3 linked regions of the Kluyveromyces lactis genome follow. The protein of the gene in region 3 purifies or fractionates together with the protein of the main gene of each other region. This does not show direct contact. Links are inferred from orthologs where the notes say so. Each region holds a gene or a part of one and is shown on either strand. Other genes may lie near its edges.

The links.
Region 1: the proteins of PDB1 (region 3) and LAT1 purify together in Saccharomyces cerevisiae (affinity purification with mass spectrometry; 5 studies listed by BioGRID, with this or other methods). This does not show direct contact. The link is inferred for Kluyveromyces lactis from reciprocal best matches to the Saccharomyces cerevisiae genes PDB1 and LAT1.
Region 2: the proteins of PDB1 (region 3) and PDX1 purify together in Saccharomyces cerevisiae (affinity purification with mass spectrometry; 4 studies listed by BioGRID, with this or other methods). This does not show direct contact. The link is inferred for Kluyveromyces lactis from reciprocal best matches to the Saccharomyces cerevisiae genes PDB1 and PDX1.

What each region holds. Positions count from the first base shown.
Region 1 is NC_006042.1:462,481-465,782, reverse strand, and holds LAT1 (dihydrolipoyllysine-residue acetyltransferase), read left to right. Parts: upstream 1-1,254; coding exon 1,255-2,676; downstream 2,677-3,302. Other genes in the region: ribonuclease H2 catalytic subunit RNH201, read left to right, coding at 1-421. UniProt on the Saccharomyces cerevisiae protein: The pyruvate dehydrogenase complex catalyzes the overall conversion of pyruvate to acetyl-CoA and CO(2).
Region 2 is NC_006041.1:864,159-867,363, reverse strand, and holds PDX1 (Pdx1p), read right to left. Parts: upstream 1,761-3,205; coding exon 543-1,760; downstream 1-542. Other genes in the region: XKS1 (xylulokinase), read right to left, coding at 2,327-3,205. UniProt on the Saccharomyces cerevisiae protein: Required for anchoring dihydrolipoamide dehydrogenase (E3) to the dihydrolipoamide transacetylase (E2) core of the pyruvate dehydrogenase complexes of eukaryotes. This specific binding is essential for a functional PDH complex.
Region 3 is NC_006042.1:882,175-885,158, forward strand, and holds PDB1 (pyruvate dehydrogenase (acetyl-transferring) subunit E1 beta), read right to left. Parts: upstream 1,669-2,984; coding exon 604-1,668; downstream 1-603. Other genes in the region: TDP1 (tyrosyl-DNA phosphodiesterase 1), read right to left, coding at 2,728-2,984. UniProt on the Saccharomyces cerevisiae protein: The pyruvate dehydrogenase complex catalyzes the overall conversion of pyruvate to acetyl-CoA and CO(2).

The sequences.
Region 1 (3,302 bases), about 420 kb from region 3:
TACCGTGGGTCCGCCTATCTCGTATCAAAAGAAATTGGAAAGTATCTTCCCACAGTGCAAATTCACCGTTGCGAAAAAGGCTGATTCTATTTACCCCATTGTAAGTGTTGCGAGTGTGGTAGCAAAAGTGACCAGAGATATCATCCTTTCACAATGCAAGAAAACCGAAGATGAAATCCTTGGGTCAGGGTATCCTGGTGACTCAAAAACCGTTCAATGGCTACGAAACGAGATGAAACCATTGATGGGATGGTCTCCCTACATGGTACGGTTCTCTTGGCAAACATGTGCCACGATGCTCGCAAATAGTAAATCTACCATCGAAATAGAATGGGAAGAAGACGCAATGACCAAGAAAAAAATGCAGTGGGCACCCGAACAGAAAAACAGACCTATTACACTTGATTCCTGGTACCAGTAAACCCTGACTCATTTCCATTTATCCTACTATCTATATATACAACGTATTATGAATTTATCTATTGACAGTCGCGACGCTGTCATCAGATTACGAAATAAGCTACCCGCATTCGAGATTTGCATTGCCTGGCACAATTGTGGCCACCGTTTAGGCCGCTGGCACTAGCCAAAAATTGACACTAGTAAACTCCCTACACCACATATTAATCGGTAAGTTACTCTACTCCATCAATTGTGAAAGCATTTATACAGCTCAAGAGCAGGTTTGGGATTGAGATAAATATCATCTCGAGAAATACCATTATATAAAGCTTTATAACTATCACGACGGAAACCCTTCTAGCAGCTATCAGTTTGCAGCGGATCACGGGCATGTTTCTGTTCATCCCACCTTCTATCCCGTCGCACCATTATAGTGTGGATATTTTGGATTTCGAAAATTCTGAAAACTGAAATTCTCAAGAAATAAAAGGAAAAAGGTTAGATGGGAGAACATTTATCTGTAAATAACATCGATTAGATTGCACAAGAGAAAAAAAAATGATTGTGATTCGCTAGTGCATTTGACGATACTATTGGAACACTGATTACACCTGTTGGTAATTGATCTCGCTTGAAAGAAGAAGATTGAAATAATACATCAAGCCTTTTCCTCCTTCATTTAGAACTGAGATATCAATATTTATTAAGGTTACATTTCACTACGAATTGGACACAGGAATTGACTGTACCAGAAGATAAAATCGGCTTACATTTGATATTCAATTGTATTAACCAAGTTACGGGAACGAATCAATTGTTTGTGTACATATATTAAGAAAAGAACTAGGAAAAATGTCTGCATTACTTTCTAGAGTTGCTCCAAGAATGAGCGTCTTGGCTTGTGCTGCCAGACTTCAATTGAGAACGTATGCTTCTTACCCACCATACACCATCATTGGTATGCCAGCTTTGTCTCCTACCATGGTTCAAGGTGGTTTGACGGAATGGAGTAAGAACGTTGGTGACAGGTTGGAGCCTGGTGATGTCCTTGCTGAAGTTGAAACTGATAAGGCTCAAATGGATTTCGAATTCCAAGAAGAAGGTTATTTGGCTAAGATCTTGGTTCCAGCTGGTACCAAGGATATCCCAGTGAACAAGCCACTTGCTGTTTACGTTGAGGAAGAATCTGACGTTCCAGCTTTCGCTAATTTCACTGCTGCAGACGCCGAATCTGCTACCGCTGCTAAGGAAGCTGCCAAGAATGGTGCTAAGCAACCTGCAAAGGAAGAATCCAAGGAAGAATCCAAGGAAGGTGCTAAACCAGCTTCTAAACCAGCTGCCAAGAAATCCTCTGGATCTTCTGCTTCTTCAGGTACTAGAATCTTTGCTTCTCCATTGGCCAAGAGCATCGCTTTGGAACATGGTGTTTCCTTGAAGGAAGTTGAAGGTACTGGTCCAAGAGGCAGAATCACTAAGGATGATGTTGAAGCCTTCTTGGCCTCGGCTCCATCTCGTGAATCCTCCGCTGCTAAGGCCGCTCCAGCCCTAGCTGCCCCAACTCCAGCATCCGCCACTTATGAAGATGTTCCAATCAGTAACATGAGACAAATCATCGGTGACCGTTTGTTGCAATCCACTCAAAATATTCCATCATACATTGTTTCCTCTCAAATTAGTGTTTCTAAGCTTTTGAAGTTGAGACAATCCTTGAACGCTACTGCTAAAGACCAATACAAGTTGTCCATCAATGACATCTTGATCAAGGCCATTGCTGTTGCTGCTCAGAGATGTCCAGATGCTAATGCTTACTGGATGCCAGAACAAGGTGTCATCAGAAAGTTCAAGAACGTTGACGTCTCTGTCGCTGTTGCTACCCCAACCGGTTTGTTGACTCCGATCGTCAAGAACGCCGAATCCAAGGGCCTTGTTTCCATTTCTAAGGAAATCAAGGACTTAGGTAAGCGTGCTAAGGATAATAAGTTGAAGCCAGAAGAATTCCAAGGTGGTACTATCTGTATCTCTAACTTGGGTATGAACCCTGCCGTTTCCATGTTCACCTCTATCATCAACCCACCACAATCTACCATCTTGGCTATCGGTACCGTTAACAAGGTCCCAGTCGAAGATGCTGGTTCCGAATTCGGCTTCACCTTTGACCAAAAGATGAATATCACTGGTACTTTCGATCACAGAACTATCGATGGTGCTAAGGGTGGTGAATTCATGAAGGAATTGAAGAAGGTTATTGAAAACCCATTGGAACTATTGTTATGAACAGATTCAGAACCTAACAAATCTAATGATCAAAAATAATAAAGTTAAGAATTTCAAAGTAAAGAAGAAAAAAGCCTACCCACCAACATTCCAAAACGAATTCTCCTAGTCGAAGTTTTTCGACCGTATGCCAATAGCCACGCTTTCCTTTTAACAACGTTGTAGGTCAGTTATGACTTATTCGACCCACAACCTTGCATGGAAAGAATTCGATTTAACATACTGCAACTATGTAAAAAATTACCATTTCTATAGATATAATGTAAGAAATTGAATATCTCATGTTTTTACCATTCCTCGCAATCGCTTTGCATAACAGCACTCTCTCCGATTTACTGTATATACTACTGAACTTATTCTCTCATAGCAGTCCCCAAGGTTCTTTTAATATTTTAGACCACGTGACTGTTTTTACATTGCCCGAAATACAGGAATAAAGTTGGAAAAAAAATGTTTACAAAAGAAGACAAGTTTGTGCTAACACTTTGACCAGGTAATGTATCTTAATTGCAGGCTCAGTTCCCTTGACCTCGTTGAACTTTAACCGTTAAGAGACAAACATTACCGAAAACAGATCCACCATGGCATTCTTACCATCATTTATTCTATCCGACGAATCCAAGGAA
Region 2 (3,205 bases), on a different chromosome or scaffold from region 3:
TATCCTTTTACGGTTCCTGGTTTTTCAGACACGTGAACAGCGTACCGTTTTTTGTTTTTTTTGTACTTGAAACGAAAAACAAAAAACGGTACACATTACGTGCTGTTCTGTGGGGAAAAACGCGCAATTTTGTTCCTGTTTGTTTGTGTCTTTTTTTTTTTATTTGGGTTTCATTTCATCTCGCATTTCGCTTGCATCTCGCTTAGTTAGGCTACTGGTATTTTTGGAATGGAAAGCTGCTTAGTCTGAATAGGGCACTGGTGCCAGGTTGGTATTCTGCGAAAATATGATGCAGTAATTTTTGATGTTACTTTTTGATCTTCTTTACTGTGCCAAGACCATAAAGAAGTCTGAAGTGCCTGTTTGGTTGAATTCTTGAGTTGTCGTTTTTTTGTCTATTATACTGATAATATAGATATATATCTGCCGGCTCTTAAGTCCAGTCTATACAGCTTGCGGACGGGGCATGAATATTTCGAAGAAGATTTGGCTTCGGCTTCTTCTAGTTTTTTTTTCCTCTTTATGTCTTGTCGTAATTTTACTCATTGGAACAATTCCAAGTTAGATAGTTGGGCAACGAAATTTTCTGCTCTTTGCTTGGCATCCGTTAACGATTCGTCAACGGCGACGGAAACGTTCAACGCGTATTCGTGACGTGTTTGTTGTTGTTTGGATACTGCGGATGCCTCTTGTTGTAGTTCTTGCGTTGTTGTACCAGATAATAAATCAAAGATATCTGGTTGTGGTGAAGAGGTACGGTGTCTTGGTGTAGGTTCCAAGTCTACTATGTTATAAGTGACCTTGAAACGAGGTTTTGTTGGTTCTTGTACTAGTAACTCTTCGAATAATGGGTCGTATAGTTCGGATGCGTCATTGGTCAATGGTTCGTCGTGTGCCAAGAATGAACATTCCTTGACGTACGATGCTATCGCAGCAGATAGTTGGGAGTAAGTGACGTTTTCTGGGACATGGAGTGTGATCTGTTCGCTTAGTACTAGAGGTAATGGTTTAGCGGGTTTAGCAGCTTGTGCTGCTGCTGCTGCTGCTGCAGTTTCTCTAGCAGGTCTTAATTCGATGTTGGTTAGATCCAATTTCTCATGGGATTTGATGTACTCGGTTACCTTGTTCAACGAATCTTGGGAAATCTTACCCAAATAGGCTAGCACATCACCTTTTAAGATTCTACCGTTTGGACCAGTGGCCTTGATTTTGTCCAACGCATCTGCAGTTGAAATATTGTTTTCCTCTAGTAGTGATAGCACAGATGGGAATAATGTTTGAGATGCATTAGCCTGAACACTGCCGTTCTTAGAAGGTGTTTTTGAAGCACTGGTTTGCTTCTTCTTGTCAGTTTTTTCCACTGGTTTGGCCTCCTCCTTTTTAGTTTCAACTGGCTTTGATTCTTTCTTGGCTTCAACGGGCTTTGGGAACTCCAAAGTGGCCAAATCATCGTCCACATCAGCGATGTATGCAATGGGTTCCCCGACAGGAATATCCTTGGCACCGTTCTCCTTCAAAATTTTGGCAAGCTTACCGTCATCTTGTGCCTCCACGTCAATGGTTGCCTTGTCGGTTTCAACCTCCAAGAGCACATCACCGGCAGAGAAAGTATCACCAGCTTTGAACTTCCAATCAACGACACCGCCCCTTTCCATGGTTGGTGACATGGCAGGCATCCCAAAGGCTTGGGCCTTCAACATAGTTCTACATTGGTGTAATTGACGGAGACACGCCCTGTTTTTAATTGCTAAACGGAACATTATTGAATACAGGTTTTTTCAACAAACACACTACAGTCTCTCTCCTATATCTTCCGTACAGGCCTAACAAAGGATGGTTTTGCTTCTTTTCTGATCTGTGTCGTCCTTATCTATTGTAAATGATACTTTTAATTACCACCTTCTTTCGCTGAATGACGAATATAGGTTTCCAATTTACAGACTTCGTTTTTTCTACCAATAGATTGTCGATAAAATCGTCTTTCTCCCAGAAACAATTGACAACAAAAGTATTCAATTGAACTTTGTTCAAAGCTCTGTGTACTTGGACAATTCAATCTTTCACATATATACTTTATTTCTAAACCTTTCCCATAGTCTCATCTCAACGGTATAAAACCGTCGGGTGGGGGACTGTGTCGTCTCTAGTGGGATAACACTTTTTTTTTTTTTCACAAACAGTGGATAACGATTTCCGGGTAATGTCTTTGAGAGGTTCATCATGTGTACAAAGATTGATTGCCTACTTACTTACTTACTTACTTACTTGCATCATGGCTATTGATGCGTCACGGTCAATTGGAGGTTCATCTAACAGCGTTTTTGATTTAGTGTGATGACGCTTCTCTTTCAATCTCACTTAGAGTTCGAATCTTGTTGTTGTAGTTTTCCCATTTGGCAGCGTCCGAGTTACAAACAAACTCACAATCTCTTTCCCAGTTAAAGAATGCGTTCAACCATCGGTCGAACGATGGGGTTTCGGGGTTTTGCTCCTTGAGCAAGGACCATAGCGCCTTGTAGCAACCGCCTAGAGCACACGAATTTGCAGTTTCTAGTCTGTAGTTACCATTCTTGGCTCCAATGACATTAGCCATCGTTTTGATGATGGCTTCGTTCTTTGATGCACCACCGACGAAAAAGGCTCTATTAGGTCTCTTGGCGTAAGACGCTAAGGGGAAGAAATCATAGTCGAACTTCACCTTTAATTCTGATTTTAGCACTTGTGTTTCGTTGATCGCATTGGCCTCTTCGGATAACAACGGGGAAATTCTCACTCTGCAACTTAGCGCTTGTGATTCTACAATGTTCTTTGCATCAAGTCTCTTATCAGGGAACATATTGACATTTGTCAATACGACTTTATTGTCTATGTACTTGAAATAACATCTTTTAGTGACAGCATCCATGTTTGGAACAATTTCGCCTAATGGGAAATATAATCCAATTTCATTATCGTTAGATAATGAGTTATCCAGCAATGCCTCGTTAAATTTAGTCCAATCATGTGTTTGTGATTCTCCATTGATATCGTCTCTTATCTTTTCTCTTGCCAGAGATCCGTTACAATAACAGATCATACCCATGTAATGATTTGGCACCGTTGGATGGATGAACAAATGGTAATTTGGTGACGAATGGTACTGATCCGTTATCAAGAGGATCGTAGTTGAGGTACCCAGCGATATTAATACATCGTTTTTTTGTAG
Region 3 (2,984 bases):
GTCCAGTCTTAAACCCTCTAATGTATCCTACATCGCTAAAGCCATTTCAGCTTAGAAAGTGTAAAAGACAATACCTTGATGGAAATAACGACAAGTTGTACAGAAAGTAGCGCACAGCGTCTTGTTTTAACGGCAGAATATATATATACAGTTTAATCTCATAACAACCGCAGTTGTCCCCAAATACCTTATTGTTCCCATCTCTAGTGATGAAAACTTTTCTTCATCATTACTGATGGGCAACATACATGAAAAAAAATTGTAAAATCTCTAATTCATCAACTTACCTTTACCAGCGAATAATTCAACGACAGGCAACTCTATCTCATTCTATTTCCTAATCCAAAATCGTGTATTAACTGAACTTGGTATTCATATCTTAATAATATAATATGTTTTAATTTTTCTATTTTTCTTTGAAGTTTGTAAATCAATTCATAACTTAGTTTATTGCAACAAAGGAGTACAATCATAAGAAAAACCGAATGCGAATGAACCATCATGCACTATTCCTTATCCAATGAATATTCTCTTTTGTTTTGATAAAAAACGGAGGCCAACAGAGGTGCATAACTGTCAGTAAAGAAAGAGTGCACGGTGCAATCATTCAATAGACAAAACACTTTTAGCAGCTCTGACAATGGTGTCAGGGTCTGGGAAAGCAAAATCTTCTAATTCCTTAGCATAAGGAGTTGGGACTTCAGCACCAGTAACTCTTTGAATTGGAGCATCCAAATAATCGAAGGCTTCAGATTCCATAATTTGAGCGATAATTTCAGCACCAACACCGAAAGCTGGGAAAGTAGATTCAACAGTAATCAAGTGGTTGGTCTTCTTGACAGTGTTGATGATAGCTTCAACATCCAAAGGTCTAATGGCTCTCAAATTGATAACTTCAGCAGAAACACCGTATTGCTTAGACAAAATTTCAGCAGCTTCCAAAGAGAATTGAACATTTCTGGTGTAACTGATGATAGAGATATCAGAACCTTCTCTTTCAACCTTTGCTTTGTATGGCAAAGTGAAATCAGTAGACAGAGATTCTTCAGAGACTTCGAAAGATTGACCGTATAACAATTCGTTTTCCAAGAAAACAACTGGGTTTGGATCACGAATGGCAGCCTTCAACAAACCTCTAGCATCTTCAGCAGAGTATGGAACCAAAACCTTCATACCTGGAACAGAACCGTACCAAGCAGAATAATCTTGGGAATGTTGAGCAGCAACACCGACAGCAGAACCGTTTGGACCTCTGAAAACGATTTGACATTTCTGAGTACCACCGGACATATAGTAAGTCTTAGCAGCGGAGTTAATGACTTGATCCATAGCTTGCATGGAGAAGTTGAAAGACATGAATTCAACAATTGGCTTTAAACCCTTCAAAGCGGCACCAACAGCCAAACCAGTGAAACCCATTTCGGTAATTGGAGTGTCAACAACTCTTCTTTCACCGAAACGGTCCAATAAACCCTTGGTAACCTTGTAAGCACCATTATATTGAGCAACTTCTTCACCAATGATGAAAACATCATCATCACGGTCCATTTCTTCGGCCATGGCAGAATTCAAAGCTTCTCTGACGGTCATGGTCTTGGTAGAAGCAAATCTCATGGATTGAACCACAGAAGGAACAGCCCTCTTAAAAGTGTTAGAAAGCATCATCATGTTGTATTAGTATTTAATAATTTTGCCAGTTGAAAGTTTTTATCAATCGGGTACTAACGTTTCGTTTCACTACGTGTAATTCTTCTTAACCTTTAAAATTGTCTTCGCTTGTAAAACGTTTACTGAACCAAAGGAGAATGAATATTATACTAGAGTTTGATATCTTTTCGTTTTTCTTTTTCTTTTAAAGGTAGAAGAAATAATGTTTTGATAATTCGAAAACAAAAACGAAGCAATAAACAAACAGACAGAAGTTGTTGAGATGCGTTTGTTATAAGACAGACAAATTAGATAGTCAATTGTCAATTCTATAACTAAAAAGGATCCTTTTCAACTGAATTCTTTTTTATAATTTCTTGAATTTGATATTATTTTTTCACTGAAAAAAAATAAAAACTCGTTCTTTGACCTATTCAACAAATAGACGTTAGCCTCAGGGAACCGCTAATTGAGTGGGATTGGATGAGAATCTGTAGTAAGATTTATAAAACCTTTAAGAAATTATAAAGTAAGATTAAACAAGTATTGAATTACAGATCCATAAAGTATAAAAAATGAAACACAAAACAGAAGATAATACAATGAATAAAGGAATAACGACTCTAAAGAACTAACAACTTCCCTGGTGCTGAAATGACCCTCTTATATTTCTTTATATATTGGTGAAATCAAAATCCTTTAAAGGAATATATATGCGCTGCATAAGCTTTTTTTTATTCGTTTCGACTGTACGGGTCGAGCGATTCGCGGGTTGCTATACCGTTGTATTTATCTCATAGATATGCTAGCGCATAGTAAGTGCGCCATCACAAATCTGCTGAAAAAACCTGTTTTGGCGACGGGAGAATACGACATAGCAGATGAGATTGATGGAGGCGATGAGGTGTATAGGTGTTCAAACGACGGAAAAGGGTGGGGGCACGTGATGCGTGGGAATGATGCGGACATTGTCAATTTTTCTGTTATTCCGGTGTGATACCTAAATAATCCGGGTAACGTAAAGCGCTGACAGATGTCAGCGCCTTAGAATGTTGTTAGATGGTATTATTGTGTATATCATCATTGAACGACAGAGGTATAAGGTTCGTCAGTTGCTGAGTAACGCTGAAATTTCAATGGATACGGCGTCACCACTTTTACTGTGGGCAGAACAGTTATGTCTTCGGGTACCCTTGACCCAATTGTTCTTCCTGGCGGTTGTTGGGCACTTGCTAGTGTTAACCGTACTTTGTTTCTCCCCATGGTTGTCGTGTATAGAATACCGCATTCGTAATTGGTAGGTTTTTTTAGTGGGCTGGGACCCCATGCAGCTTGGG